Tamandua tetradactyla: one gene and its partners. The protein of the gene in region 1 purifies or fractionates together with the protein of each later gene. This does not show direct contact. Links are inferred from orthologs where the notes say so. Each region holds a gene or a part of one and is shown on either strand. Other genes may lie near its edges. The genes, in order: CLSPN, RAD9A, ATR and CDC45.

What was found.
Region 2: the proteins of CLSPN (region 1) and RAD9A purify together in Homo sapiens (affinity purification with western blotting; 3 studies listed by BioGRID and IntAct, with this or other methods). This does not show direct contact. The link is inferred for Tamandua tetradactyla from reciprocal best matches to the Homo sapiens genes CLSPN and RAD9A.
Region 3: the proteins of CLSPN (region 1) and ATR purify together in Homo sapiens (affinity purification with western blotting; 3 studies listed by BioGRID). This does not show direct contact. The link is inferred for Tamandua tetradactyla from reciprocal best matches to the Homo sapiens genes CLSPN and ATR.
Region 4: the proteins of CLSPN (region 1) and CDC45 purify together in Homo sapiens (affinity purification with western blotting; 4 studies listed by BioGRID and IntAct, with this or other methods). This does not show direct contact. The link is inferred for Tamandua tetradactyla from reciprocal best matches to the Homo sapiens genes CLSPN and CDC45.

Annotation. Positions count from the first base shown.
Region 1 is NC_135328.1:189,610,548-189,618,045, forward strand, and holds the start of CLSPN (claspin), read left to right. Parts: upstream 1-4,480; 5' UTR 4,481-4,802; coding exon 4,803-4,832; intron 4,833-7,498.
Region 2 is NC_135335.1:7,100,231-7,107,390, forward strand, and holds the start of RAD9A (cell cycle checkpoint control protein RAD9A), read right to left. Parts: upstream 3,016-7,160; 5' UTR 2,602-3,015; intron 219-2,601; 5' UTR 51-218; exon of another isoform or gene 1-50. Other genes in the region: SSH3 (protein phosphatase Slingshot homolog 3), read right to left, coding at 6,387-6,674. UniProt on the Homo sapiens protein: Component of the 9-1-1 cell-cycle checkpoint response complex that plays a major role in DNA repair. The 9-1-1 complex is recruited to DNA lesion upon damage by the RAD17-replication factor C (RFC) clamp loader complex.
Region 3 is NC_135341.1:86,773,866-86,781,193, reverse strand, and holds the start of ATR (serine/threonine-protein kinase ATR), read left to right. Parts: upstream 1-4,322; 5' UTR 4,323-4,444; coding exon 4,445-4,503; intron 4,504-7,328. UniProt on the Homo sapiens protein: Serine/threonine protein kinase which activates checkpoint signaling upon genotoxic stresses such as ionizing radiation (IR), ultraviolet light (UV), or DNA replication stalling, thereby acting as a DNA damage sensor.
Region 4 is NC_135331.1:27,901,428-27,909,445, reverse strand, and holds the start of CDC45 (cell division control protein 45 homolog), read right to left. Parts: upstream 3,018-8,018; 5' UTR 2,639-3,017; coding exon 2,453-2,638; exon of another isoform or gene 2,372-2,452; intron 2,314-2,371; coding exon 2,254-2,313; intron 1,587-2,253; coding exon 1,494-1,586; intron 408-1,493; coding exon 270-407; intron 1-269. Other genes in the region: UFD1 (ubiquitin recognition factor in ER-associated degradation protein 1), read left to right, coding at 3,052-3,094, 3,222-3,400, 5,509-5,641, 6,024-6,056, 7,450-7,571. UniProt on the Homo sapiens protein: Required for initiation of chromosomal DNA replication. Core component of CDC45-MCM-GINS (CMG) helicase, the molecular machine that unwinds template DNA during replication, and around which the replisome is built.

The DNA of each region.
Region 1 (7,498 bases):
TTAAAACATGGCTTTTCTAGGGTACATACATCCTTTCAAACTGGCACAACCCCCAACCACATTATCACTCTCTAACCTTTAGCACCCTTTATTTTTCTTCAAAGGACTTATCACTGCCTGATCTATTAAATATTTATCTACGTATTGTCTATTGTCTATCTACTGCTACAAGAATGTAATCTTCATAAGAGTTTATTCAAAACAGTATCACTTGGCCTGGCCAATTTTCAGGTGCTGCATAGCACCAAGATATAGCAACTTAAAACAACCATTTATTTCTGTAATTTTGGCTGGGTTTAGCTGGGCGATTCTGCTGTCTCACCCTTGGTCACTCTTGTGTTTGCATTCATATGGAGGCTCAGTAGGGCTGGATGGTCCAGGATGATCAGGTCTGACCGTTTGCTGTTGGCTGGGATGTCTTGATTCTCCTCTATGTGGTTCATTCAAAAGGATAGCTTGGGTTTCTGAAATGGTGGTGGCAGTAGTTTAAGATAATGAAAGTGGAAGCTACACAGCCCCTTAAGGCCCAGCCTCAGAAGCCACACAATTTTACTTTCACCATATGCTGTCAACCAATGTAAGTCACAAGTTCAGCCCAAATTCAAGAGATGGAGAACAAGATTCTGCCTCTTGATGGGAAGAATGGCAAAATCACTATGTAAAAGGGAGACGACAGAACGCCATGATTATTCTCACAATCTTCCACAATGATCCACAATGATCCTTTGTTGTCATTCCCTAAAAATCTTATCATCATTCCTGTCTCCATGCCTTTACCCATTCCATTTTCCCTGCCTAAAATAGTATCCGTTTTCTTCTTTGCCTATATAAACACGGACATAAACATCAGTTTTTCACTGATGTTTAGCAACCATGGCCCCACCCTTTACTGGCCCCACCTTGGCCAGTAAAACCTTAGTCATTATAACAACTGTGACAAATCCCCTGATTGAATACCAGTGGCAAAATCACCTTTTGGCCCATAGTGGATACAATATCGTTTTGTCTAGCTGTACCCCAACTATCCCCCCCATGACTTCCTCATACTGATCTACTTTTAGTTTCCCAAACATAACATGCTGCATCAAGCCTCTACACATGCCTTGCATGTCTTCTTCTCCCCACGTTGGCCTGCAGAATTCCAATTCATCTTCAAAAATCAGTTCAGGGATCATCTCTTGCTGACTTTCCCAAGGTGAAGCCATTTGCCCCACCTCAGGCCCCCAAAGCCACTTGATTTTAATCTGGTGATATAAATTCAGAAAACTTTCTACTAGTAGATCTATCATTCCACCACACAAATCAATATTAAAAAGAAAGTCTGAAATTACATGTCTATGAAATAATAAGCTATGAAATTTAACATGCTTAGCTCATCCCAAAGTTGTTCCATTTATATTTGCTCTTCCATTATTGCACACTCTTGTTTGCTTGCCTGTTTCCAACCCAGCAATGTGAAACTCTTTGAGAACAAGGCTGTATTTTATTTATCTTTATATTTTCAGCATCTAGAATAGGCTTAAAATAGGTGCTCAAGATTTCTCAAATAAGTGGATGAGTATGTTATGGGTACTTTAGGTTGTGGCAAAGGACATTCTGCACACAAAATAGCTGATGGGAAAAGGCCCTGGTACTTTTTTTTTTTTTTAGGCTATGATATTTTAATGATTCAGTCAGCAATTATTTATTAAGTGTCTACAATGTGTCAGGTCCAGTGCCATTTTTAAAGGTCAGGGGTTAACTATAGTAAGCAAGAAAAATAGCCCTGGCCTTCAAGAGGGCACTTTGCAAAAGAAGCTTTTTAAATATATAGAAAAATGGCAAGGGGTCGTTTTTAAAAGCAGATACTTGGAGAAAATAAGCATTTCATGCCACCAAAGGAAACTTTAAGTAACTCTGAACAATCTTAAAATGAAAAGAAAATGGTTTTAGGATGGAGTGGCTGCTAACCATGGATGGATTGACATGACCAAGACATAACACATGGTGGCGCTGCTTCCCAGGGATGAAGATTAAAAATCCGTGTTTGGTGATTCTAGAGGTTTTAGGACTTTAGAAAAGCAAGTCGATCTCAAACTTGGTTCAGAGGAATAACAGCACTAGAAAATAAACATGGTAGGCTTTCTCAATTTGCAGAGAAGTTGAAATAAAAGATACAATTTAGTTAATTTTCTCCTTCCAAACTTTCTTAAGCCTTTGGGGCCTGCATTTGATTGTGTACCAGTGAGCAAATAAAAATAGAATACTTTGGAATGGGCTGAGCATGTTAAGTTCCATGGCTTATGATTTCATGGACATGTAATTTCAGTATTTCTTTTTAATATTGATTAGTGTGATGGAATGATAGATTCTACTAGCAGAAACTTTTCTGAATTTATATTACTGGATTAAAATCAGCAATATTGCAAAGCATTTCCTACAAATACCATACTTTCAGGTGCTCTGTCAGTTAAGCCAATCTGAGAATCATGAGCTGATCCAAGGTCTGTAAATAAGACAGCAGGGCTCTGAAAAGCTAAATGACTTACATAAGGCCATAAAGTCATCTATGGGACAGGCTCAGGCTAATCCCTTTAAACACTACAGATCTTTCCCTTGCAGCCACCTTCCATCTCCATCAAAAGGTACTCTAGGAACTTCAGCTTCCTTTCTTCACCTCTCATTCATTACTCAACCAATTACAAACTGCCTTCTATCCCCACACCCACCAATAAGATCCTATCATCATCCTCTTTTCCTCTCATGTCTCACTCTATCCACCTTTATCCTTTTATTATTAATTTCTACACTGACGATTCCAAAATATGCATCTATAGCACTCACTCTCATATTTAGAGGGCTAAGATTTTGGGGGCGCTGACTCCGTGCCAGAAGTAATTATAAGTCTCATCTTATTACTCTTCACAGTAACCTTGTGATTTAAGTAATACTGTTACCTCCATTTTAGCAGATGAGGAAACTAAAGGCCTTTAAAAAGCTAGTAACGGGGAGTCACACCCTGTTCTGACTTCAGGGATCCTAGAAGCCATCCAAGAGAACTTGCCTGAGTAGTCTCTGCATTTTCCCTCCTTTCCCTGCTCTAGTTTCCCAGTAGCATTTATTATTGTCTGAAATTTTATTTATGTCTATTTATTTTCTGTTCCAAAAGGACAAGCACTTTGTATTATTTACCAATAGCTATTCTCTACCTTGAGCAGGCATCAAAATCATTTCAAAAGCTTGTTAAAACCCACAGTGGTGAGACTTCCTGCCCCCAAAGTTTCTGATTCAACATGCCTGAAGTGGGGTCTGAGAATTGCATTTCTAACAAGTTCCCAGATGATGCTGATGTTGTTTGTTGGTCTGGGAACCACACATTGAGAACCAAGAACATCCCTGGCTCATGGTAGGGGAATCAATAAATATTTGTTGAATGTACTTGACATATATTATTCTTCCCGAATTCTCTCTCAAAAGTGTATCTTCAAATCTCTCTGCAACTTGTGAAAGAAATTTTCAACTCCCTAATGAAGTATCCAGCAAATGTCAAACTTGTCTAATCATTTGCACCTCAAACCTACTCTGCTTATCTCATAATCACCTCTACTCTGTCTTCCAAATTCAAAATTTTCAATTCTTTCCTTTCATTCCTCCATCTAATCAGTCTCCAAGTTTTGTTGATTCTACCAATAAATGGCTCTTAACTATAACACCCATTTCCCAGCACCTTAGAAAACTTGGAAGAGGGAACCAGCGGAGAGGGTGACCAACCATCCCAGTTTGTCCGGCAGGGTCCCAGAGATGTGGGAGTTTCAGTGTTAAAACTGGGAAAGTCCTGGGCAAACTGGGACTAGTTGGTCATCCTACTGGTGGATAGAACTGTGAGTGGGAGAGGTGGTAGGTGTGGTAAATAGGCTGATTTTTCTTTCCTTGCGCTCTTTGTTCTCCTCATGGTGCCCTTCGATGGCCTAACCCAACCTGAAGCCTGACCACAAGATGGAGTAATGCAGTGCCGGGAGGTTCATTTTGCTGTGACACAGGGCAGGAGAAAGAAAGGACAGGAAATGGACCTGGAGTAGCAAAAAGATAACCAACCTACTGGCAAAACTGGGATTAGAATTCTCTGGGATTACTGTGACTCCAAAGCTTTTACCTTTTTGCTTTACAGAAAGATTGAAGTGGGATGGATGACAAAGATAGTCTTTGCTATGTGAGCAGACCACAATGTTTCTTTTCTTTTGTGCTCCGTGGCATGAATGTCATACACAAGAAGGGGCAGACGGAATATAGCTGGCTGAAGGGCTGGAGCAATTGGAGAAGTCCCCCAGAGGTGCCTGGACTCCCGCTGGAAAGATTCAGAACACCACAGGAGCCCTGGGACCTCCTCCCAGCTCACTAACCGCCTGGAGGGCTCACTCCTCAAATTGCGCTGGATGGGAGTGGCCGAGCTATGGCAAGGGTCAAAGGTCAAAGATCACCACTGGCTTGTTACCTTCTTGCAAGGCCAGAAACCCGATCTCCCGATACTTTAGCGCACCTTCACCCCAGCACCCGCTCAGCTGACAAGACGAATCGCGACCCGCCAACCCGACCCAGATTATACTACTCGGAGGCGCTTAGTGATTGGTAGGACGGAGTGGGGGGCAGAGACTCCGAAAGCCTCTTTCCGATTGGTGCAAATCATCGAGGGTGGGGCTTCCACTCCGGCTGGGCGCGAAAGCTCGAAGCGGGCAGCATAGCTGAAGACGGCTGGAGCGGGTACTCCCAGACAAGGAGCCGGAAAGCTGCTTGGTCCAGAGCACAGCGCTGTGGTGACTGGAATCATGACGGGAGACGTGGCTCCTGAGGTGAATGTATGTACGTCCCTCCATCCGGGCTGTTGAGGCCCGGCGCCGAGGGGCGGGGAGGGGCACTGATGGAGACTAGCAGAGCCGGGTTCGCCTGGCCTGGAGGACTACAACTCCCGGCGTGCCCCGCGGCCGGCTCGGCGGCCCCGGGACTCTGCGGGTTACTTTTCCGCGGGCGGATTCCTGCAGTTCCTGGATTCCCGCTCTCCGGCTTCCGGAGTCTTTGCGGCGCCCCTTGCCTGCAGCCAATTGTTGTCTAGCGCTTGCCCATCTCTCCTCCACCTGCCTCTCTGCTTTGGCGCGTTTCCTGACGCGGTTGCTTTTCCTCTTAAATCGCCCCAAAAGAGGAAGGCCCAGGCCGAATAGGGTCGCCAGAGTGCAGGGCAGGATTCTCGATAGAGGCAGCGTTGTTGGGAAGTTTGAGATTTGAGTCTAGAAGGGGCCTTTGATGTCCTCGCGCGCTGATGTCACCCTAAGCCCTCCCTCCCTCTCCCCCCGTTCTCCGACTAGGCCCGCTGTGGGGAAGGAGCGGTTTCGAGCCTTCCCGATTGATGGCTGACTTTTGGGCTTAAAAACTACATTTCCAGATTCCTACTGTTTTCTGGGGTGCAGAATTTAAGGCGGCAAAACAAAAAGAAACAATAAAAACCCCTCTGGCTAAAATATCTAATAGTTTTTAAATCAAAATTAATTCGAAACATTGATAATGTGTTCCTGACCAAATGGGGGAAAAGAAATGTAATAAAATAAAATTTCAATAACTAAGAGATTTTAAATAGAGTCGGGAGACTGTTCTGGAGGTTACTCTTATGCAGGCTTCAGCTAGATATTGCAAAATGCCATGGTATGCTAAATCCCAACCAACAGTATTCCTGAAAACCCTAAAGAATACCCAGTACTCTGAGACTGTATAATAAAGTTTCACTTACTGAGTTTGCTTTTCTGAAACCTAAAACCTCCAGATTGTTCCTATACCAGCTAATCCCTGAAACCCAGAGGTACCAGTCTCTCCAAGAACATCAACCAGCTGCATCCCCCTACCCCATAAGGTCAACACCCCTTTTCAACATGAAGATTTTAGAATGGTCATTCCCCAAATAGCCCTAAAGTTTGGGAGAAGGTTCAAAGGAGAAGGAGGAGTTATAACCCAGAAGATAGGATTTAACAAATCAGTATGACTATTGAATCATATTGATATTTCTTTTTAGTCTCCAGTGTATTAGAATAGCTAGGGGGAAATATCTGAACTTGTGCAAGTGTAACTCAAATCATACTTTGAAATTTGTTCTGTAACTACTTGTTAAAATGTACTTTGAAATTTATCACTTTTTTGCATGTTATTTTTCAAAATAATTGTTTTTAAAAAAAGAACAAGAAACCCACAAAAATCAAAATTAATGCAAAAAATTCCATGATTTGATAATTGAACAAAATATCAAATAAAGACAAGATCCTCCCTGCCTCACTCACCTTACCCCACCTCATTCTCCTTACAGTAATCCAGTCCCTGATTTCAGTCCAATGAAATTTTATTTACAAAAACAAGCAACTGGGAAAAAAAAAACAAAAAACAAGCAACTGACCCCATGAGCCATAGTCTGCCATTTTGATACTTTAAAAGATATTGCATTAAAATATTATTTATCTTGATTACTGAGTTTTTCTGGTGTGTCACCATCTCCTCCTGCTTTTGTTGTAGCAGCTGCTGCTAGAAATTGCCTGGAATGGAAAAGATTAAAAGCTTTATCGTGTACAGCGCTGTGTGGTTATCTAAACTCAATTTCTGCATCTGCAAACAGAACTAATCCTTTTTGGATTGTTGGAAGGATAATCAGGATTTACCTCATAATTCCCAGTGATTCCTCAGTGTGTTACATTTTGTCATTATTTTAATAGGTGTATCAGACATTGAAATCGATTTAATAGTTATTTGAGAGGTAAGGCCTTGTGCCCTGTTACATTACAGATGTTAATATTTTCCCCCTTTTTAAGAAGTTTTGACTTAGAGCCCTGAGAACACTAAGGAGGTAGTAGACCTGGCTTCTGGGGTCTGCTTTGTCACTAACTGGTCAAGTCATTTAATACACCTCTCCTTAAGTTTTTCTAGTTTGTGACTTTTTAAAAATAAATTCCTAAACCTATACAGACTTAGAGAGACTGATACAATGAACCCATCACTCAACTCCAACACTTTTCAAATCATGGCCAGTCTTGTTTCTCCTATACCCTTACCCACTGCCCCCTATACCTGATTACTTGGAAACAAAACCATACATCATAGCATTCCATCCACATATTTCAGCATGCGTCCCTAAAAGCTAAGGGCTGTCTTAGTTTACTAGGGCTGCTTTAACACCACAGACTGTTCGGCTTAAAGAAGAGGAATGTACTGTCTCATAGTTTTGGAGACTATAAGTCCAAAATCAAGGTGTTGGCAAGATTGTGCTTTCTCTGGAGTCTGCAGCATTCTGGTGGAGGCTTGTTAGCAATCCATAACTATCTCTGCCTTTGTCACATTATCATCTATCTCCTGTCAACTGTCCACATTTCCACTGCTTATAAGTCATACTGGATTGAGGCCTCCCCTGATTCTATATGATCTCACTATAACTAATAACATCTTCAAAGATCCTTTTTACACATCAGTTCACATTCACAGAATGGGGAGTTAA
Region 2 (7,160 bases), on another chromosome or scaffold:
AAGCTTCCACTTAGTTACAGGGAACCCTGACACATCCAGCAGACACTTACCTGTAGCCAGGGAAATAGGAGCAAACTGAAGAGGCAGGTGGAGAGAAATAACAGGGCTCAGGGTGGGAGTCTGTACTGTTAGAGAGATGGTTCCAACAGCTCTCTTTGGATCATGTCTCCAGGAAAAGGGGCATTTATGGCCCTCAGAAGTCCTGCACCATCCCACACCTAGGAATGAAACAGGTAGTCAATCATGGCCCATGCCCTCTTTGGCTGAGATGGTCTCCTCTGTAATAACAGAGGATTTCAGGGAAAATCTAAACCCTTGGTGGGTAAAACAGGATATGGGAGGACGTGCCTATTCTCAAGCCATTCTCCTTTCAATCCTCTCTGTGACCTTCTCAAAAACGATCTCCATCCCATCCTGAGATAGTTCTCCTCTCTGAAAGTCAATTAACATTTCTCTCGAGGGGGCCTACCTCTTGGGACATGTTTAGCCCTGGGCAGGATTGGAAGAAGGGCAAGGGCCCAGAAGTCAGACTGAAGAAGGTGCTGCTGAAGGTAACATCATTCCTTTGCAGCAGCTACAGGCCTTAGCAACCTGTTGGCCTGGTGGATGCAGTTTCCCACTCCACGTAGATCACAGGTGGGAGAGAAATATTCTTGAGGATGAGGGAGCCAAGAAAAAAACCAGACATGGACACAAATGCCACAAGAGCCCAAGGAGTGTTCATCACTTGTCTTCCAGACAGTGGAAGTTTCCTTCCCTTGGGCTTCTTTACCTCATTTTCAGGGAAGAAGACTCACAAATCCTTCTAACTATTCACAGAAGATCCTGTTCACCGGTCTTAGTTGACAGGTACTGCATTCAACATGCCAACACGGCCCTTGACCTACAATCCATCTGCCTGTTCACGGTCCTCCTCTGAAAGGAAAGCTGTCAGAGGGCATATGAATCTAATGAAAGGGATTCCAGGTAACACAGAGATCTCACCTCAATTCCTTGCTAGTGGAAACTCACAGCCCTGGTCCATTCACTAATATTTAAAGGGTGCTAACCAGATATCAAGCTTGAATAAGACACTGATCAGAATCCAGTCCCTGCTCACCAAGGATACAGATATTTCTCTTCCAGGTCTCTCGAGGGGCTGTGGGAAGGGCACCCAGAGCATCTTTCCCCTACTTCTTGGCATATCCACATTTTCCACATCCTTCAAGCCCTAGCTCAAATGCTGTCTCTTCCTTGATGCTCTTGGTAAAGTACAGGGTCTCTCCTGCCTTCCAATCTTCAAAGCTCTATCACCTATATCCCTCTTTGGACACAGCTCTTTCTCCTTGTATTATATGAGTCTTGTATGCCTATTTGATCTTCTATCCTACATGCTATGCTTCTTGAGGGCAAAGATTGTCCTATAAATCTTCCTGTCCCTCACAACACAGTACCAGGCATATAACAGGAACTCAGGAAGTGCTCGCAGAATAATGTCTCACAGCTTCCACATAAAGATGCTTGTTGGGTGAATGAAGGCTTGTTTGTAAAGCTGCTTGGGGGGGTGGGGGGGAGGGGTCCCAGATTTAAAAAAATAATAATAATTAAAAACTCCTTGCTAGGCTTTTCCCAGTGAACACAAAGTTTGAACTCAATGCAAGCGGCACAGGATTACGATGTATTTCTCATAACTATTGTGTATATCCAGTCTTAAGGAAATAGATTTTAGCTCTATATTCAGCTGTTTTTGCATCTGTCATGTGTGTTCTCATCCTCTATGAATCGTAAGGAAAAGAAGGTGTTTTCTCCACTCTGTGTTGTTTGGCCTTCCCTAGGTGCTATGTGGTAATGCTATAACCCAGCCTGCAGCTAAAGAAGGGAGAAACCTCTGTCTTTAGCATCCAACTTCGTGTACAGAGAATGGATTTAACCAGCAATAAAGGAAGTTACTCCAGAAAATTAGGAAATGGTCTCATAGTGGCTAAGGAATTTAAAATGTTATCAGAAATGATGGCTGGGACTTGGAATGGCGCTTGCTACGTGAAGGCCCCATGCTAAAAACTTATATAGATTATCTCATTTATTCCTCAAAAACCTGAGGTCATACTATCATTATCTCCACTTGTACAAAAAAAATGGAGGCTCAAGAGATGCAGTAAATTTGCCCAGAGTCACAAACCCAGGTTTCTCTGACTCTAGGTTCTGAGCTGAGGTTCTTGCTCAAACCATACCAACGGTTTCAGCAGGATGCAAAATACGCAGAAGAGATTTTAGGGATCATCCGTTTCAACCTCCTTATTTTACAGAAAAGGAAATGGGTTCAAGGACATAAAGGCACTCGTCCCCCAGGTCACAGAGAGCCAGGAGCAGCGCTGCCCCGGCATAGCAATGGGCACTGGAAATCAAGTCCAATCCCCGACTTTGCAGAGCGGGGTGTGGGGGAGTGCCAAACCCCCGAGGGGCTGGGACTCCTCCGGTACCCGAGTTCATCAAAGGCCGAGGGGCTGGAACCCCGGGCGCGCTCGCGGCCCTGCGGGGCGCCGTCTCACCTTCACCTGCGACGCGAACCATCCCACCGGCGGCCCGCACCCCGCCCGCACCCGGCCCGAGCCCCGCAAGTACCTGTTGGCGACGCGCAGGCCCGCGGCTGGGGATGACAAGGCGCTGGTCCGGCGCAGAGACGGCGGGGCTGCGCGGGCCAGAGCTGGACACCCGCCTCGCAGGCCCGGGCCTTCCCGGCCAGTTCGCCTCAGAACGCTCAGGCCCCAGTAGCGCGCGGACAACTGAGGAAAATTCGGGAGCGCTGGTCCCGGGAGGCAGGGCCGGCCTGACTTCCTCCCCTCAAGCTTCCTATGTTACCCGGTCAGCCTTCTGCAGACCCGTTCCAAGCCCCAGTGCACCTCAAGAGGAGAAACGCCTTGGGGTTCGGGAGAGTCAAGCGGCTCGGCACCCAGGGAGTGGGGGTCTGCGGGAGGGAAGAGGAAGAAGACGGGTTCCTATGGAAACTAGATGAAGTTCTTTGCGCCTGCGCCAACGCGCTAGGTACGCTGGGAAATGTGGTTTCCCGGCTGTTCTCCCTCCCCCTCCCCGAGGCCAGAAGAATGGACGCAAGATGGCGCCCGAGCGTCGCAGTGGGTTCAAGTCAGCTGGGCGTCCGGGTTCCCCGGCACTTTTCCGAAGGAGAGGCCGCGGAGGCCTCAAAGGTAGACTCAAATCAGTCGCTGCCCAGAGGCGCCTGGGATGCGGGGGAGGGGAGGGGGCGCGGTCTCTTGAGCGCGCTCGATTTTGCGTTTGAAAACTTGTTCAAAAGAGGAGCTGCCCTGGCTCCGGGCAGGGGGGCGGCCGCGTCGGCAGAGACCTCTCCTCAGTCCGGGCCGAACCGGGCTAGGCAGAGGGAGACCGTTCGGACGGGGAGAGCTGCCCAGGATGGAACGGATGCGGTTCCTGCACGTGTAGGCGACCTCTCCTGCTGCGTGGAAGCCTAAGTGGGAGGTGACTTGGGAGACTCCGTGAGCGGGAGTCGTCCTGACCCTCCCCCTGGAGAGTTCCAGGCGGTGCCGGACCCAGAACCCGCCGTGGGCAGAACTGTGAAATCTGTGCGTTGACTTCCCAGGAACCACCTTTTCCACACCCGAGTAAGACCCCTAGACTAGGCCCCTAGAATCTAGTTCCGGTCCCTTAGAGACTCGATTACTTCCCCTGGACCTGGGTTCCTTATTTTTAAAATGGAGGTAATTATAGTGCCTGCCGTTTGTCCCTCTGGGAGTGTTGCAAGGTTCATGTGAGATGACATTGATGTGCAGTTAAAGATATGAAGGGGCATTCCCATTCGATGTAAATTGGGGCAATGCTTTGAGAGACAATTAGCCAGTGCCTCTCAAAATTAAAAATGTCCCTGTCCTTTGCTTCAGCAATTCTAGCACATGTCCTACAGACCTGGTGGTTATGTTTGCAGAGGAAAATACGTAGAAGGGTGTCTAGTGAAACATTATTCGAAATAAAAAACAAAAACCTGTAACCAACCTAAGCACTTATTGATAGCTGGCCACAAATAAATGAAGGTATATAAAATAGGATATATGTGGTTATTTTTAAATGGGGCAGCTGTTTCTGTACTGATGTGGAACTCTTCGTGACATGAAAAAAATGTCGAAGCGCAGAATAGCAAGTTAATATACTATTGTTATTTTAAAAAGAATATATGCACGCTAATACATTTGATTACATGAACATGCAGCATCAGGAGAAACTGGTAACAGTTGTTGCTTTTGAAGAGTGGAAGTGATGGATTGGAGGAAGGAATAGGAGGATGTTTCGTTTTATGTCCTTATTTCCTTTCCACTATTTTTCATTTGCTCCTTTAGCAATTTGTGCAAGTTTTTTATACACATACGGTCCTTAATCCTTTAGCCTGCATATTGAATGCAAATAGTTTTCCCTCCAGTACATGATTGGACCCAGCCTTCTGAGCTGCCCAGGCTGCAGGAGGGGAGGGCCTGGCCTTGGCTTCTGTCCCAAAACCAACACCCCCAGCCCCAGCCTAGGAAGATTGAAATGGCAGTCTGAGTGGGAGTCCGGGTTGGCTGTAGGGTGGCTAGCAGCCCTGTTTGTTCAGCAGCAAGGTGAGCCAGCCAAGCGGATCAAGAATCAGAACTAGCCTCTCTGTACCCCACCTTGCAACCCCAGGCAGGCCTCCCATAGACAGGCGCAAAGGATTCCTGTTCTAGAAACATGGGGAGGCTGAATTCTAGCAGGGTGTGCAGAGGCTATAATTCACATAGATGGCAGATGAGGGAGGGTGCTTGGAGATTTTCCTGTCTAAGTCCTTTGCTTTATAGAAAGAAACAGAGATTTGAGGTGGACTAAGTTGTAAGTGGTAAAGCCAGAGCGAGGCTCCAAGTTTCCAGGTTTCCTGCCCACCCCCACCCTACCCCCACCCCCATCTCCAGTGTTTGGCTTGATGCCCAAGCGCTGCTAGGAGTCACGCCAGGGTCTGGGTGAGGGGGTCCATCTTAAAACTGCAAGTGAGGCCTCAAAGACGAGAATATTTGAAAGGAATTGTACAACCCCTCACCCAAACCAGAGCAGTGTGTCGTAGGGCTGAGAGTATGATCTTGAAAAGAGGGGCCAGAACTAATTAAGGTGGGACCACTTACTCTTGAACACTGAATTGGAGCAGAAGGAACCCCTAGGCAGAAGGGGTGGGGCCCGGCGAGGGTCCTTCTTTCCTGGCCAGGATGGGTTGGCTGTCTTGCCTGTAGCAGAGGGAAGGGATGCTTGGGACTCAGAGTGGTTGAGACCTACCTAGCCTTGGGTGTCTGAGAGGAGACTGAGCTTCTGGAACAGGCTTGGTCCTGTCCAGATGGGCAGTGGCAGCTTCCGCTTCCTCATGGGTAACTCCCTTCAATTGTCCCAACAGAGCCAAACACCTGCTGCCAAGGCATGGGCTCGCTCCTTCACTGGCCTGCCTGAGCTTCCTGAGGGGCAGGGGCAGCTAACATTTACACAGGCCCTGCCCCAGGAGATGAGGGAGAGAGCAGTGGCCTCCCTTCTTCTCTCCCGCATTCTCCCTCCTCCTCCCCCCACAAACGTCCCACTACCCAAAGGGTCTGTCATGAGACATCTGGGAATTCTGATGTGACTGAGTAGTAATGAGAAGCCAGCTCCTCATGCAACCAGAGAAGGACTTGACTGATGACAAAATGGCTCAATCATAAAATTGAAAAGAACTTAATATGAAAATGTCTTTTTATTTCTAAGTACAAAGCCAGATACTATCAAGACTGTGAAAAACTGGCCAGAGGCTGTGAAGGACAAAAAGACGACTCTCTTTGGCCTGGTACCCTGTGACCCAGTGCAGTGCCGTGGGGAGAAGGCACCAGCAAAACCCCTGGGCCAGCTGTGAGGTGTGCACAGGGGGCTCACATGCCAGCCCGTCAGAGCAGCCCAGCATGCGGCCCCAGGGCCTCCCTGGACTGGGGACTGAGGTACCATCTGCCGTGGTGGTCCATGCATTCTCTGGTCCTAGTTGGCCCCAGAAATGAGGTGCAGTGGGAGGTGGGGAGGGAGGCAAGGGCCTTTCTATACTGCCAAACTCTGTTTTTATTCCTGTGGCTGCAGGTGAAGGTTTTAGGGCAGCAGTTGAGAGAAGTTAGGGTGCTGTTGCCCCCAAAGGCACTGTCAGGCTTTCTACTGCATCCTTCAAGATAAAGTCTTGAGCCCTTGGGCAGGTGGATGAGGGTCTGAGGCTGAAGGCTCTAGGAGGGTGAGGCTGTAGTGACGGGTCTGGGGACGCTGGGGAGGAGCTAAGAGGAAAGTGTATAGACAGAGAGGAGTGGGGAGTGTTTGTCCGAGGAGCTGTGGCCTCCATTTAGTGTCTAGGGGAGCACGCGTGTGTGTGTGAGGGCTCAGGCCCCACCCTCCTCGCCACTGTCATCCACGCTGGCCTGCCTAACCATCTTCCGGAACCTGGGTGTGGGGGGACAGCCAGCCTCTCTCTGCTCTTGCTCCTGCTCCTGGAAGGCACGGGCCCGGCTAGCCACCAGGGCAGCGCCCTGGAGGGCAACCACAGACTGGCGGGACTTCAGGGCAGGCCAGGGCCCCTTGCGGACCCGCCGGTCCCCCTTGGCCCTTGATTGCTGAGGGCAGGGTTGTGGGGAAGGGTCTTCCTCTGAAGACTCATTTGAAGAGAAAACCTGGATGGGTGAGAGGACAGGGAGGAAAAGTGAAGAGAAGGCTTTTAAAAGCAAGGGCTGTCTTATTGATTGTTGAACAGAAAGCCTGGCAGAGGCTAGGTGGAAAACGCTTGAGTAAGTGCAGAGAAACTGAACTGCTCGTGGTCACAGTTCCCTAGGAGGAAAAAGCCCCACAGCCTGGCCATCTCCCTGCTGCTGGCCCCCCTCCCCCTGCCTGTTCCTTCCTTCTGGCTCCCATCTCCCCTCACCTGCCACTTCCTTGAAGCCCTCTCCTCCGCCTTCTGCCCCTCTACTTTTCAACAGTCAGTCCAGTGACCTCATAGGAAACCCTTCTGGGTGCCAGGCCCTGGACTGGGGGTGTTTGGGTGCTGGATAAGGATACCGTGCCTTTGGGAACACCCACAACGCATCCATCCAACCATCCATGCCTCCCTTTCCTCCACATCCAGGGCCGCCTCCTCCAGGAAGCCTCCTCCCAATCTTCGC
Region 3 (7,328 bases), on another chromosome or scaffold:
AAATGCTCCTATGTATCAATAAAAAGACAAAAACCGAATAAAAAATGGTAAAGTTTTAAATAGGTAATTTACAGAAAAATTCAAATTATTAATAGACATACTAATATAACCAGGGAAATGTATACAAATACATCTAACTGCCTTACCCTAGACCAATTAAATAAGAATCCCTGGGAGTGGGATCCACGTACTTTCTAAAACTCCCCAGGTAATTTCAATGTGCAGCCAAGGATAAGAACTCTTGTTCTAAAACAGTTCTAACTCAAAATGTGGTCCATGGACTAGCAGTGTCAGCATTACTTAGGAGCTTGTTAAAAATGCAAATTATTGAATTCCTTTTCAGATCTAATGAATGAGAATCTCTTGACTTGAGACTCAGGAATCTGTTTTAACAAGCCTTCCAGGCAATTCCTAAGCATGCTGAAGTTTGAAAACCCATACTCTGTAACCTCTCCCCTTAATTTTCATGTATATCACAGTCACTAGGAGTATAGCATCAGATGAAACAGCTGAAAGTATTTTGAGAAAAGCAAAAATATTGATTGCAAATGCAAATAATCCTTATTATTCCCATAAATCTGATATAATCTTAGGGTCATACTTGACAAGGAAAATGACAATAATTCACAACTAAGATATAAATATCCCAACTCAAGGGAAGTAGTCCATGTTATTATTTCTGAATTGCCTCCAAATACAGTGGAGTTCCAGTTTTATAATATATCCTCAGTAGATGTGAAATTGCCACAAAGATAGGAAGAAAAATGACTTAACTTTAAAGTTCTCAAACACTATATGCGTTCCTTTATTAGAACTAAATGTTTTTCATATTAGATTTTTGCAGTATTTCTACTAAACAGGCCAAATGGATTAGTGCAGTTATGTTGTGTTTAATCATTTATTCTACTTTATTAATTTAAGAATGTTGGCTTGTGGCTATGTTGGTCTATTATTTGAGGCTTTTTCTAATGAAAAACAACAGACGTGTTCCTTTCTTACCCATTAATCTATGCCTGACAATACTCAATACTTATTCAAGCTAATGAAGCAGGCAAATGGCATGATTATATCTGGGTTTTGAAAAGGTTGTTTTGTCTGCTGTGTAGAACAACTCCACAGTGATGCGTGTGTGTGTGTACGCAGGAGGTGAACATGGAGACCCATTCAGGTATAGAGAGGAACTTGTAAAACTTCTGGTATTTTTAAAAGATTTCTATTTTAGTGTATACTTTATGATGTACATTAAATAGCAAAATCTTAGACTCTATCATAGACACATTATGACAGAACCTGCACAACTAGCCCTCCAGTTTAGGCATCCAGCCAAGGACAAGTTCATCTTGGTCTCAGCTGGGTTGCAGTGCCACCTGGTGGTTTCCCGCCCTAGTTTACTCATCAGTGGAGACAGGTCTACACACACGGCTGGCTGGAACTTCCTGATCTGGGACACTGCTAGCACCAGCCAAACTGAACCATTCATCTCTCCCTAATAATGCTCTTTACTTTTTATTCACATTGCTGCCTCTAATTAGACTATATTACTCTTCCTCGGTCACTGTCTCTCCAAATCCTACACATCCTTCAAGTCCTATCTCAGATATGGTTTTACCTTTTCCTGGAGCCCCTTTGCATTCCACCTCCTCTCTCCATTGGAGAAGACATACCCTTTTCCTCTTCTATATATTTCATTGTAACCTGTTTATATCTCTTATGCATTTATCAATTTTTGCTTTACTTTTAACTTTTTGCATTCTTACTAGATTGTACATTACTTTGAGATTGACTTTATCGTCCTCTTCTTTGTATCACAGTAGGATCCAGGCAGTACTTTTCAGAAAAATCACTTTTTGAATTAAATTGGATTATTTAATTTCCTATTATTATTATTCTATTACTTCAACATTCGGGGATTCATAGTGTCTTTTAGAATTATAATGCTATTCAGCTATTGCCTTTCAGATAAAATAGCAATTTTTATAATCTTTCTTCATATCTAAAATAGCTAATATTTATTACTTTTTAGTTGATAAAGTGTTTTATATGTTATCTAACTTAAGCTTTTAAAAATATATTTGTGCCAGTTAGAATCTATTATGTACCCCAGAAAAACCATGTTTTAATCCTGATTCTTATCTTGTGGGAGTGGCTGTTACTTTTAATCCTGATTCACTTTTGTAAATGGAAAATTTTGATTAAATTACCCCCACAAAGATGTGTCACGCCCAACTGTGGGTGTGACCTTTTTTTAGATGGAGATGTGACTCTGCCCATTCAAGGTGGGTCTTGATTACTGGAGTCCTTTAAAAGGGGAAACATTTTGTAGAGAGCTCAGAGCAGAGCTGACACAGATACAGACACTTGGGGAACAGAGACATGGGTGTTTGGAGATGCTTGGAGCCCAGCAGACGACGCCATGAGATGTTAGCAAGCCAGAACCTGGAGAGAGCCAAGGGAAGCCAAGAGATGAAAGCCAGCCCCAGAGAAGCAAAGTGAGGAGCCCTCACAGGAACAGAGGCTGAAAGCAACGGAGCCCAGGAGCAGGGGACCAGCAGATGCAGCCACATGACTTCTCACCTGACAGAGGCGTTCCTGACCCATCGGCCTTCCTTGAATTAGGGTTATCTTTCCCAGGATGTCTTGCTTGGGCATTTTTACAGGTTTAGAACTATAAACTTGTAACTTATTAAATTCCCCTTTCTAAAAACCATTCCAATTCTGGTATATCACATTCCGGCAACTTACAAACTAATACATCCAAAAAATGTATACATCCTAACCATACAAAGAATAATATAACATAACAAATATAATGTTAAATTTGCCACATTTACTGAAGAGTCTGTTAAAACCTTCACAAATAGTTTGTCTCAACATTTCATTATCTCCCTTTCTAGAAATACCACTATGAAGTTGATGTATCCTTCCCAACAATGTTTCTATACTTTTGTTATATACGTATGTATACATACCCTGAGCAAGGAATTATTTTGCGCTTTAAACAGTGTACAGGAGTGATATAATACTGTTATGTAGTCCTTTGCAATTTGTTTTTTCACTCACATTATTTTCAGAATTCATCTATCCAAGTACAACATAATTCATTCAAGAAATGGTATTCCACTACACGACTTTAATTTTTACTGCAGTCTCATGAGTTAGATTATTTATGGGTGAAATAAAGTGGAGTGCAAAGAGATGAAATAGAGTTTCATCTCTATAGCCATAGAGTTTCTAGCAGGTGGAATGAGGAGTTGTCCAGGGCTTCCAACTCCTAATCCTATGTTCTTTCCACCACAGCACTCAAATACTCATTCAACAAACCCTTGTTGAACACCGGCTACGTGCCAGACACCGTTTTAGGTCCTGGGGACCTAGCAGTGAACAAAACAGACAAAACTCTGTTTTCAAGGAGCTTATATTCTAATTGCAGGAGACGGTCAATAAAATCATATGCAATATATCACTTGGTTCTGGGCGCCCTGAAGAAAAACCCCGCAGGTCCGCGGGAGCGAGCGTGAGCGCGCGCACCGGCCGGCAGGGGGCGGGGCTCTGGCGACGCCGACGCAGACCGGGGGGAGGGGCGAGGGACCGGCGCCTGGACCCGGGCATGGGCCGCGACGCCAAGGCCCCGAGGCAGGCGCACACCCGGTCGTCCCTCTCTCCTTCCATTTGTTCGCTGCTGTACCGACATGTATCCCCAGGCCAGAGAACACAAGCGAGCACGCTGCACGGCTCCGCCTGGTGGAATACACGGTTTTGCCGTGGAAACAGCCTCTGGTAACGGTCCTCTCTCAGATGACCAAGCCGGGCTGAGGGAAAAGTGTCGAGAGCCAAAACCCAGTGATTTACTTTAAAAGTTAAGTCATAGGTATCCGAGGCCCAGAACGGCGACACAATAATACGGCTAAGGTTTGAGGAGATATATAAACACAAACCAACCCCAATTTTAAAAATTAAAGGTTGTGAGAATCCTCAATAGACGTAACTTTAAATGGAAAAAACCTGCTGAAGTATAGAGAGGAGCGGGAGGAGCCCGCCTTTCCCCCGATTCCCTGAGAAAGGTCGTCAAGGGAGTGGAGAAATGAGGAACCCCTAAAACCTGGGGGCAGGTCGGCGAGGGCGTCTGGGTCGGAACCGCCAAGCCCCCGGCCTCCGGGGCCGCGGGGCCTCCCAGCCCACGGGGCAGCGACCCGCAATTCGGAGCCCAGACGCTCGGACGCGCAGACCCGCGCAGCGCCGGGCTAAGCGCGAACTATCGCGAGACCCGCTCGCCCGCCGCCGGCCCCGCCCTCCCCGCCCCTCCCCCCCGAGTCCTACATCCGCAGCAGCTTCGGGGAGGAGTTTTGGGCCCCGCGAGGCACCGTCGCGTCTTCCCGCTAAAGGTAGCGGTGGTGATGCCAGGTCCCCGAGTCGGCGTCGTGGACGAGTAACGCGCGGCTTCAGCATGGGCGAGCCCGGCCTGGAGTTGGCTTCCATGATCCCGGCCCTGCGGGAGCTGGCTAGGTAGGACCAGGCTTGGCCGCTTTGGGTTCCCGTGTCCTCCCCGGCGGGCCGGCGCCTCACGTGGTTCCCCTCTCTGGCGGCGGCCCTGCCCCGGCCCTCTGAGCACCCGCTTCGGCCTTTGTGGAGACGTTCGGTGACCGAGCTGGGCGCCTCGCCCTCAGAGGCCGGACAGAGGACGCCGTGTGTCCACGCCGTCCGCGGAAGCCGGCCTGAGGAACTGAAGGCGGCTGCCCGCACGCGCCCGGCCCCACGGGGGTGTGTCCGCCGCCGCCGGAGGAGCGGCCCCCGTGGTCGCTTCTGGTCACTCTTCTGAAACCCGGTCGCTTTCCGAAAACCTCTTTCCTTAGTTAAAGGGCCTTGCCCAACACCTTCCCCAATATCTACTCTTAGGTTCGCTCCTGGAGAAGTTAGTATGTTACCGTCTTGTTCCAGAACTGCCTTTGGAAGAAGCATCAGCGGCTCTCATTTTCTGCAAGGACGGTCACTTGTTAACAGCGTAGTTCCTTTCTTCAGAGTGAAGTCGTAAGCCATTCTAGAAGATGTGAGCCCCTTCGTATCCCCCTCCGGTCCCCCACGCCATTATTTTACTCAGGCCGTGGAAATGCCTGGTATCTGAAGAAATCCGACGGATTGGCCAGAGCAATCGCAAATCTAAACTTTCAGTGTTGCATAAATTTGGAGTAAATTTAACATTATTTCCAGAGCAATCGCAAATCTAAGCTTTCAGTGTTGCATAAATTCGGAGTAAATTTAACATTATTTCCAGAGCAATCGCAAATCTAAACTTTCAGTGTTGCATAAATTTGGAGTAAATTTAACATTATTTCATTTGCAAATTTCTGTTTCCTGTTAGCGCTGCAGTAAAGTCAAGTCCACCGGCACCTTAGCGGTGGAGGGGAGAGGTGCTGGTAACCGCAGTCCCCCTGGGACACGTTTCGCAGGCTTCCCAGCTCAAACAATAAGCCTGAAGAGCCCAGGCAGCGGGTTTTGTTCCTGTGTTTACCCTGCCAGTAAGAAGGCTGGTGCTACTACCCCAGATGAGTTGGGATAATAATTTCTTCCCAATTTCTTTAGGTGTTTGAAACCTTTCCATACAAAGTGGAAACTAACATTAAACCGGTGGAATAACTAATTCCCTTTCTTTTTGCAGTGCAGTCGTGTTTATCTCCACTTGTCTACCTTGCAAAGAAATTTAGTCTTTCTCAGTTACATAAATTAGAGGACAGATGAAGAAACCTACATCATTCTTGTGCCAACTGCATCACCCTGTTTTCTGTGTGTGAAATTGTTTCCACTTTTGGTGAATGTTGCAAGTATGCCTTGTGTTAAACAATGTTGCAAGTATATTTTGAGTTAACATTTTGTAAAGTAACTTCTTGACTAAAAGAAGATTCATAAAAGTGCTTCTTTAGGAAGTTGTGCAGATTTCATTTTTCAGACTTACTATTTATGAAGCTCAGTATATTTTCCCCATCTTGCTTTAATGTAGAATTAGTTGGTTAAACTTTCCTTTTCTCTCTTCCTCCATAAGATATATTAATACAAATAATGGTATCTTGGATTTGCATTTGTCTGTTTCTTCAACAGAATGTGTTACCTTTCATTTTATTTATTTGTAGCCATTCCAAAAGAAAGGATAGAAAAACTGACTTATGAATAATTGCCTAATACTTTTAAATTATCATGTCTGTTTTATTGCAATGACTTCAAGCCTTTGCTATTACTAGCTGTGTGACTTTAGGCTAGGTATATAATCTCTGTGAGTAGTATTAGTCTTCTCCTAGACAGTAGTATCCTTATCTTGTTGCTTGTGAATATTAAATGAAATATCATAGACAATATGTTTTAGCCCACTTGCTGGCACAACAAGTCTATATCTCTAAAATAGACATTTCTTGTGGACTAGAACTGAATTCCAACTATCTCTTGGACATCTCCAATTAGTTCCCCCAAATCAGACTCAATATTTTTAAAACTGGATTCCTTTTTCTCCCCAGACCTGTGTTTTGTCCTGTATTAACTCTCGGTGAATGGACTCACAGTTCTCTCTACCCCACTTAACATTCTACCCCACTGTGTTTTTCATCTTCCCACTAGAGGCTCCTACTGTGTTGCCTGGCACATGTTAGGTGCTCAAAATGGTTTGTTCAAGACTTAGATGACTATATGTTTCCTTATACTATGTGATAGCAAACAGATTTTCTACTACGTTCTGTGTTGGTTTAAATTAAAGAATGGAGCTCAAGTTGAATTCATTTAGGCTTGTAGGGTACCATTCCTTAGCTTAACTATTATATCTGTTCCTAATATATATTTTTAAAACTCAATATATGTGTTTTTTCTTAACTTTTTAAAACTTTCATTGTGGAGAATTTCAAACATTTAAAGGAGAAAAAATAGTGTATGTATTAATTCCCCTTCTACCCATCACCCAATAATAATCAATTCATCATACTCCTATTTGCAACTCAGATTACTTTGGAGCAAATTCCAGATATCATTTCATCCATAAATATCAATATTTGGCTTTAGAGGATAAAGACTTAAACATAGTCACAATATCATTATCACACCTACAGAATAATAGTTCCTCAATAATATCAAATATCTAGGCTGTTTAGATTTTCCCAATTTTACTTTTGAAGCAGAGTTCAATTTAGGATCATACATTGTAATTGGTTGGTATGGCTCTTAAGTATTAGTTATAGGTTTCTGCTCTCTTCCTTTGGAATTTATTTGTTGAAGAATCAGGGTTCTAACAGATTTTCCAGATGTCTAGATCGGTACCATCTGATAGAAATATAATGCAAGCTACACATATAATT
Region 4 (8,018 bases), on another chromosome or scaffold:
AAATCTAAACAGAGACAGATGCCTGAGCAAAAGCAGAAGCCAGAAGGAGAAGCCCTGTGACAGGGGCAGAGATGCAAGCCAAGGGACACCAAGAACTGCAGTGAGCCAGCACCACAGTACACAGACTCTGGGAGAAGTTGTGGCCTGTCGAGACCCTGATTATGGACTTCTGGCTTCCGAAACAAAGAGACAGTAAATTCCCCTTGCTGAAGCCCACCAGTGCGTCCTAGCAGCCCTGGAAAATTAAGACAGCCCCTGAAGCTGGTTACCTGAGTGTCGTTGTACACATTCACGACGTTGACTGGCCTGTGGGTGTCACATACAAAGAATATGGTGTCTTCCTCAGGTTGCAGGATATCCAACAGGTCTACATTCGCTCCACAGTTTATAAGGATAAAGTAACGGAACTAAAAAGGGACATAGACACCATAATATACATTCATCGAGGTGTATCTTACGTTCATGGCACAAGGCCTTAGCGTTTCTGCAGAGACCCAATGAGTCCCCAGCACTATGGTGGGCTTGAGGCCCAGGATGAAGCTAGGGGACTCTGAGAACAGCCATGGGTAGTCTGTAGCAAGTGCTTTCATTTGCTCCTTCATCTCATCGCCACATCTCACCATGGGGCAGGCGCTATGGTTGGGCCTGCAGTGCAGAGGAGCCCGAGTTGTGCACACAGGCACCTGCGGTTAACAAGGAATGGATAAAGACTTCAAACATAGAATGATCTCTCCAGACCCCATAGTCACTGTGCTGCACAGCTTCTCCTTGCTCATAGCATTGCAGAGCTTTAGCTCTTCAGCAGATCTTGAACAATTCATATCTTCAGGGAACCTAAATGTTAAGTTCAGTTCTTCATTCATGCAATTGCCATAGGAAATCCTTCCCTTACAAATATCAAACTGGCATAGATCCCTCCCATGAAGACAGGAGCTGCAGGCCAGGACTAGCTCTGCCAGAACAGTCTCAGATATGGCAAAAGACTCCACGAACCCTTCTCTTCAGCCCAGCCCCTCCCTGTGCGGCCAAGATGTCCCATCACTCATTATAGTCCCATGCAGAGGTGCAAGGAGCCGTGGCCTCTGCTGTTTAAATTACAAAAGGAGAAGAGACATTCCTGGATTTCAAGTTGGAACCTAGTATACGTTTTCTTGGAGAGGTAACATAAAATGTCAGCATATTCTAAGATAGTTTTCACTATGCCTTATTAAAAACTAACTGCTAAATTTCATGCGCTGTATGGTGAAATTTCTGCAACACAAGCTCAAAGCTAGGGAATATTGATATTCACTGGCTTTTTTAATTGTCAATTCTGCCTCTACAACTTGAGAATAAGTGACCAGTGTACACACATTATACCCTTCTCTTCAACGTTACTTAATATGGCCGATAATTAAATATCTGCTTAACTTATTATTGAATTGAAAAAGTTCTAAGTGTTGAGACATTGCAATCGAGTTACAAAGCCTATTAGCCTAACGCATCTTTCATACCTGTTCCTTATGCTCAAGAAACGCAGTTTCAAGTTCTTGCCACCCAGAAACTGGAACCAGCGTGTACTGCACGTGGTCACACTGGAACAAGGCCTGGAGAGAAAGTATTTTCTAAGTCTACCTCACTTAAGATATCTGCAATTTCCTTGAAGGGCAAGTCAGCACCTGCCCTTCCCCCAAAAAAGGAAAGATGATTTTAAAAGAGCATCAGAGGATAGATGCTAAAACAAGGTTGGTACCAGTTTTTACTGCATCATTCTGCCAGCTTTGTGGAATGTTTGAAAATTACTAAAGTGAAACACTGGGAGAAAAAAGCTCCTCTTATTTCTAGGACTTCAGAGAAGTTCCTGATCCAACTGCCTGACTGAAGCTCAATGAAAAGTCCCATCTTCAAAACAGATATTCCTGAGGGGACCCACGGCCCCGGTGTTTCCAGTATGGTTACGACACACCATTATGCCTCAGTTGTCACAGATTCCAGTCTCTCAAACCTCACGCTTAAAAGGCCACCATAGGTCTTGAATGCAAGTTTTTTTTTTTTTTTTGCATAGGTTATTGCAAAAAATGCTAACTGCTCTGCCTGCCTTTCGCCTCATCGCTAACGCACCCCACACTGTACAGCCAGGGAGGTAACTTTTCAGGGGCCCTGTCCCCAGCCTTCAGTGGTCTATGCTCTAGTGACAACTCCGGCCTGCGCCCTCACCTCTCGACGTGCTCCCTCCCGACCCTGGCCCGCCCTCTCAGGTCCCGCGGGGTTCACCTGAAGGATCTTGCAGGCGCACAGCGCGTCCACGTCAGAGGCCACGAAGAGAAGGACTCTCTGTGAGGGAAGAGCGGGCGGGCTGGGCGCAGCGACTCGAGCCCACGTCCCTCCCGCCCTCCCGGCCGCACACGGCCTCTCCCACCTCGCCCCTCGCCCCCGACAGGGCCCCGGCTGGGGGACCCGGAGCGGGACTCACCTGATTCTGGACCAGCTCGTAAAACTCCTTGCGGAAATCGGACACGAACATGGCCACGGCGGCCGGACGCCCTGCGCTCGCACCGGGACGCTGCTGGCTCCAGCGGCGGTCAAGACTCCCGCCAAAAAACAGGGCTCTTTCGATTGGCCCATGCCGCCAACCAATAGCTGCTCGGTTCCCAGCCATGCCTCCTTCCTGATTGGGCCATGGTAGGGGCGGGAACTAGCGCTCCGCCAACCACGGCTGGAAAATTCCGGACGGCCCCCCGGAAAGGAGCGTCTAACCCTGCAGGACGTAAACATGGTTGCCACCTTCAACCTCTGACTTCCATTTACCCAGAAGCCTGATGCTCGGTGGACATCTTTACTGTGGGAAAAGAAGCCTACTTCTTCCCACGGGGAAGTCCAAAACAAAGAAACCTGCCCGCCATAAATTAAACTTAGTTTTGCTTCGAATAAGGAGCAACTCGTTTCGTTTTCAATAGGTTCTCGGTGAAGTTCGAAGGCGGATATGTAGCTAACTTCCGCCCAATTTCTCTATGTCTGAACCAGAGGCCGGAAATTTAGCGTGCATTCTGGGTAGTGTAGTCGGGAACTACAATGGACTCTACCAGGTTCGTGTGGAGGGGAGTACCGCCAAAATGTAATTAAAATAATTCGAAAGAATTAGCTGTAGAGTGCGAGCCTAGCTAGGGAACGGTATTACCTGTTCTTTCGACGAGGGAAGTTCTAGGTTATAGGGTCTTTGTCCTGGTTTCTGTCTTTTTCAGACGGCCCTCGGCCCAGTCCTCCCCCCTCAGCATGCACAGGTCAGAACTGCCTTCCGGTGAGCGTCCCGGGGTGTCCGAGTGGCGGCGGCGGCTGTGGTGGAGAGGCTGAACGCTCGGCGGCTCTCACCGTAACGTTCTCTAGGGGAAGTGGCGCCTGCAAGGCAGAGGTGTCAGTCATGGTGAGCGCGGTCAGGCTTGGCCGAGTGCGGGGGCCGGGTGGGGCAGCCGGCTGAGATGCCGAGTCACGCGTACCAGGTTAGGCCCTGGGCCGCAGGTGGCCTCTCTGCATCTCCGCTTGTCCGGGCTTGGTCCGCCTTTCCTTCAGCTGGACTCTGAGATCTTTAGGGGTGAAAAGTAGCCTTCTACGTTTGTGTCCACCCGTGGTCTCGTTAGTGTAAGACAAGAAGCAGGTTTCATAAGCACGGAATTAATCTAAACGTTTTTGGAGGTGGGGAGCAGAATCATGGGGGGCTCCCCCTTGGGCAGGGACATCCCCAGTTCCTCGAGCTCAGTGCCTCCTGGTTCATGCCCAGATTGTGTTCACGACCTCGTTATGTTTACGTCCTCGAATGTCCCTTTTTCTGTTCAGGCTCATTACCATCGTGCAGCAGCATTGCCTCAGTATCATCAGCCCATTCCAGTAAACGACATGGGTGTGATTTTATCCTAAGTGTGTCAGAGTTGAATCATATTTCTGCTCCCAGGTTCATCCACTTAACAGACAGCAAATACCAGTTATGTGCCAGGCCCAGTGCTAGGAATCGGAATTATAAAGTATAGTAAGAGGTGGGGGTCGGGAGCAGCAGGGAGGGGCAGAAGGTCAGGTGCATGGGGGAGTTGAAGGCAGATGAAGGGTGTTGCATATTTTGGGTGCGTTTCCTCTTTTTTTGCAAAGAGAAGAACCAGCTCAGTGGATGGTGTAGTGTGAGCTGTTCAGGAAAGGCTTCCACTCCTCTCCCTCTCTAGATCCTGAGATACCCTGTATTATTTGTCAGGCTTCTGGGTGAGATATTGTTGAACAGCATCAACTGCTTAAAAGAGAGAGACTACAGTTTAAAAGCTACTGTACTAGAGTTCCAGGAATTGAAGAACCATCTGCCATTCTTTATGTAGGAGTGTGCTAATTTTGCATTTTAGGAAGATAGCTGATCCAGCTTACCAATTTTGGAATTGCTAGTAAAATAATATCAGTAGGTGGCTTTCTCCTGTATTTAATGTGTACGTGGAGCCAAGTCAGGAAATATTTTATTGCAAGGTTTTATTCTCTTTGAAACATTATCAGCAGTTGCAGTACTTTGAGAAAACCCATCACGGAGGAGCAACATGTTTTCTAAACCTCATCTTAGTCCACACTCATTAAGAGGTGGGGTCTTGCCTTTTAATGGTGCTGTGTCTTGGCCTTACTGATTAAATGTGAGGAAGTTCTTGGGGAGAGCATAATATTTACACCTACTCTGCACTGTGAAATGCTTTGGGGGAGCCCCAGACCTAATGCTGGCAAAGCAGAGGTTTCCTAGGAAGGGAAAAGATGGTAATGGAGAGCCAGGTGGAGGAATACAAACCCTGGGTGCCTGCGGTTCCTGCTGCCTGGAATGCCTTTCTTTGCTTTTTGCCCAGCTCCTACTCATTCAGTTCTTTACAGAGAGACCTTTCCTCAGCACCTGTTTAAAACAGCATCCCCTTACCCAGCCTCTTGTCTTCACAGCATTTACCACCGCCTGACATGGTTGGGTTTACTTTTGCTTGGAGCCCTTGTTTCGAAGGTCAGCTCCAACAGGGCAGAGGTTGTATCTGTTTTGTTCATTGATGTTTTCCAAGTGCTCAGAGCAGAACCTGGAAGAGTGTAGGCACTCGATAAGTATGTGTTTTTAGATTAATAAACATTTATTAAATTAACGAAAGGAACAATGTTCTGGGCAGGCTTGGGAGATCGTGTGTCAGTGAGCAAGTCTCTGAGTTGTGAAAGATCTGGCCTTGGCCCCAGGGACGGTGGGGAGCCCCTGAGGGAGGTGAAGGAAAGGACTGAGCCACGGCCAACTTTGTATTTTGGTAAATCACACTTTCTAAAAATGATGGAGACAAGATCTGAGGGATTAGGCTGGGGACGGTGGAACCAATTGAAACCCAGAGATTGAGATTGCCTCTGTACCTGGGCAGGACATGAAGATTTTAGTACATTTTGCTCTTTGACGATGTTTTGCACCATCAGTTACCCTCATGTGTTTTGGCTTTTGACATAAAGAAATATTCCTTAGCTCTAACACCAGCACCTCTTTTCTCCTTCTAGTTCTCCTTCAATATGTTTGACCACCCGATCCCGCGGGTCTTCCAGAACCGCTTCTCCACACAGTACCGCTGCTTCTCCGTGTCCATGCTCGCAGGGCCTAATGACAGGTCAGATGTGGAGAAAGGAGGGAAGAGTATGTGCTTGTTTTTATTTGACTCGTAACCTTTCCTGCCCCTAAGCCCGCAATGCTTGTAGCCATCCCCTTCCACAGCATTATTTTGTCCAGTAACTGGAAGCTAGTGTTCCAGTGACAATGTTGCTTGTCCCAGACTTGCTGAGGGGGTAGGGGGTTGGTTAATTCTGATGAGATTTACAGCTGGTACCTATTCAGTTCCTTAAAATAAATTACATTAAATAAGATTCTTTATGAAAGATCGTTATGAAATTCTGGTTGTCCTAAAATTAAAATATTGCTTATAACTTTTTTTGGGGGGGGTTAACAAAAGTTGCATTTTGGCTTTTGTTTCTGCCTTTTTTTTTTCTTTTAAATACTTTTTAAAATATTCTTTCTACAGTAATCATGCCACCTTCAGCCCTCGATCAACTCAGTAAGTATTTTCTAAGCAACTTGATAATTCAGGTCAGCTGTGAGGTGCTCTGGGCACGGGACTGGCCTCAGGGCCCACTGCCACTCAGCTACCACATTGGAAGCCACCCTTGGCAAGGAGGAGGGGACACCTCTTCCCACTGCTGCCTCTGCAGTGAGGTGCTACTTCTGAGGGGCTTCCTCTTGGAAGAACTGCCAGAACTTCCTGCCCCAGCTGTCTTCACTGGGTTTGCTTTATTTAGGATTCTTAGTGGGGGGGTCAAATACAGTCTGCCTTAACCCCGTTTCTGAATGGAAATGTGTTGACTGGTTCACTGAATGCTATAAGCCAAAGACGGTATGGCTTCTTGGTGACACTGCCAGACTTGAGCCAGCAGCCTGGCGTTGGCCCTCCTAAGCTGTGCCATCTTGGGCATGCTACCTAGCCTCCTCATAGGTAAAAAGGGGTCATGAAAGTGCCGTGTCTGGGAAGAGTCGACGACGGCCTGGTTCATAGCATCCACAGCCACTGCCGTCTCCTGCCTCTTCCCCAGCACCCCAATCTCCTGGGCTTTCCTGCTTCTCAATGCTGGCCCCCTCCCTTCCAGGCCTCACTGCCTCTCCTGAGCCAGGTTTCTGCCCCATAGCCAATTGCTGGTCCCTGGTCCGCCATGCATCCCTGACCCCACAGGTCACTGGAACATAGGAGTCACTGGTTGGGACTAGCTAAGAGCCCATGTTCCTGACCAAGGGGCTGGGTATTCTGCTTATCCTCTGTGGTCCTGGCACGGCTTCCCCCCATCCTGACCTTCTTGAGCCCATCTCCATGCTCCAGCCATGCCTCACTGTGAGTGTCCCATCCACTGGCTGCCCTGCTGGGCGACAGTCCTGGAGAACTCGCCCAGCCCAAGTCCATGGCCCTTCCTGCTGGCCCTGACCACTCCCACGACACTGGCAGCGTTATGGTGGACTTATTTGTTCTCTTTTTCACCCTTATAGACTAGAAACCTTTGGAGGCGGGGATTCTGTCCAGCACCTGGTTGGCACTTAAGTTACTTATGAATACATTTAAAAATATGTCACTTAAAAAAGAAATGCCACTTTAAAATTGAGATCATTGCATACCTCAGCTAGTGCTATATTATGCCCCACACATTCCAAGTTTCTCTCTGGGGCCAAGCACTGTGCTCTAGCAGGCAGGAGGAATTCATACCCGCCTCAAGGAACATGGAGTCTTGTGGGTGGAAGACCCCAAGGGGCTGAAGACCACGTGGGATTCCAGTGCCTGCTCCACCAGTCCAAGCTGTGTGGGTGCCCTGCAGGAGCCCTGGGAGGCCACTTCCTGGGGAGGTGGTGGCGGCGGGGTGTCCCTCCTTTCTCAGACCTGTGTCCTCTACACCCCCTCTCCTTTTCAGGCCGACTTAACATCACCTACCCCATGCTTTTCAAACTGACCAACAAGAATTCAGACCGCATGACCCACTGTGGGGTGCTGGAGTTCGTGGCCGACGAGGGCATCTGCTACCTCCCACACTGGGTGAGTGCCACTGCCAGTTGGGGCCCTGCATGGCCCAAAGAGGAACAGGTCTGTCCAGGGCACAGTGGCCTCTCAGGCAGGAACCCTATTCTTCCCCTCCATGTGCCTTCCTTTCACCTAGGAAGAAGGCAGCAGAAGTGCCATGATCTGATCGGCAGCCACTTGGAGGAGTTGGTCAGAGAGTGTGGCATCTGGCTGCTGAGAGACCCTGCATTGGCCATGGGCTGGAACTGCAGGGACACTCCCTTGCCGGCCAAACCCTGTGGCCCACAAAAGCACAGCTGCTTCTCCCGCAGGTCCTTGTCGGAGTGATCATGAACTTAAGTTTTAGAGTAAATGTGTGTTGATGGTTCTGAGCATTGTCCCACCCCTCCCACAGCGGGTTTCCTTGCCCTACTGCCTGGGGGATGGCCGTCCTCAGCCCACATTCACCCTGGCTCTTCAGCT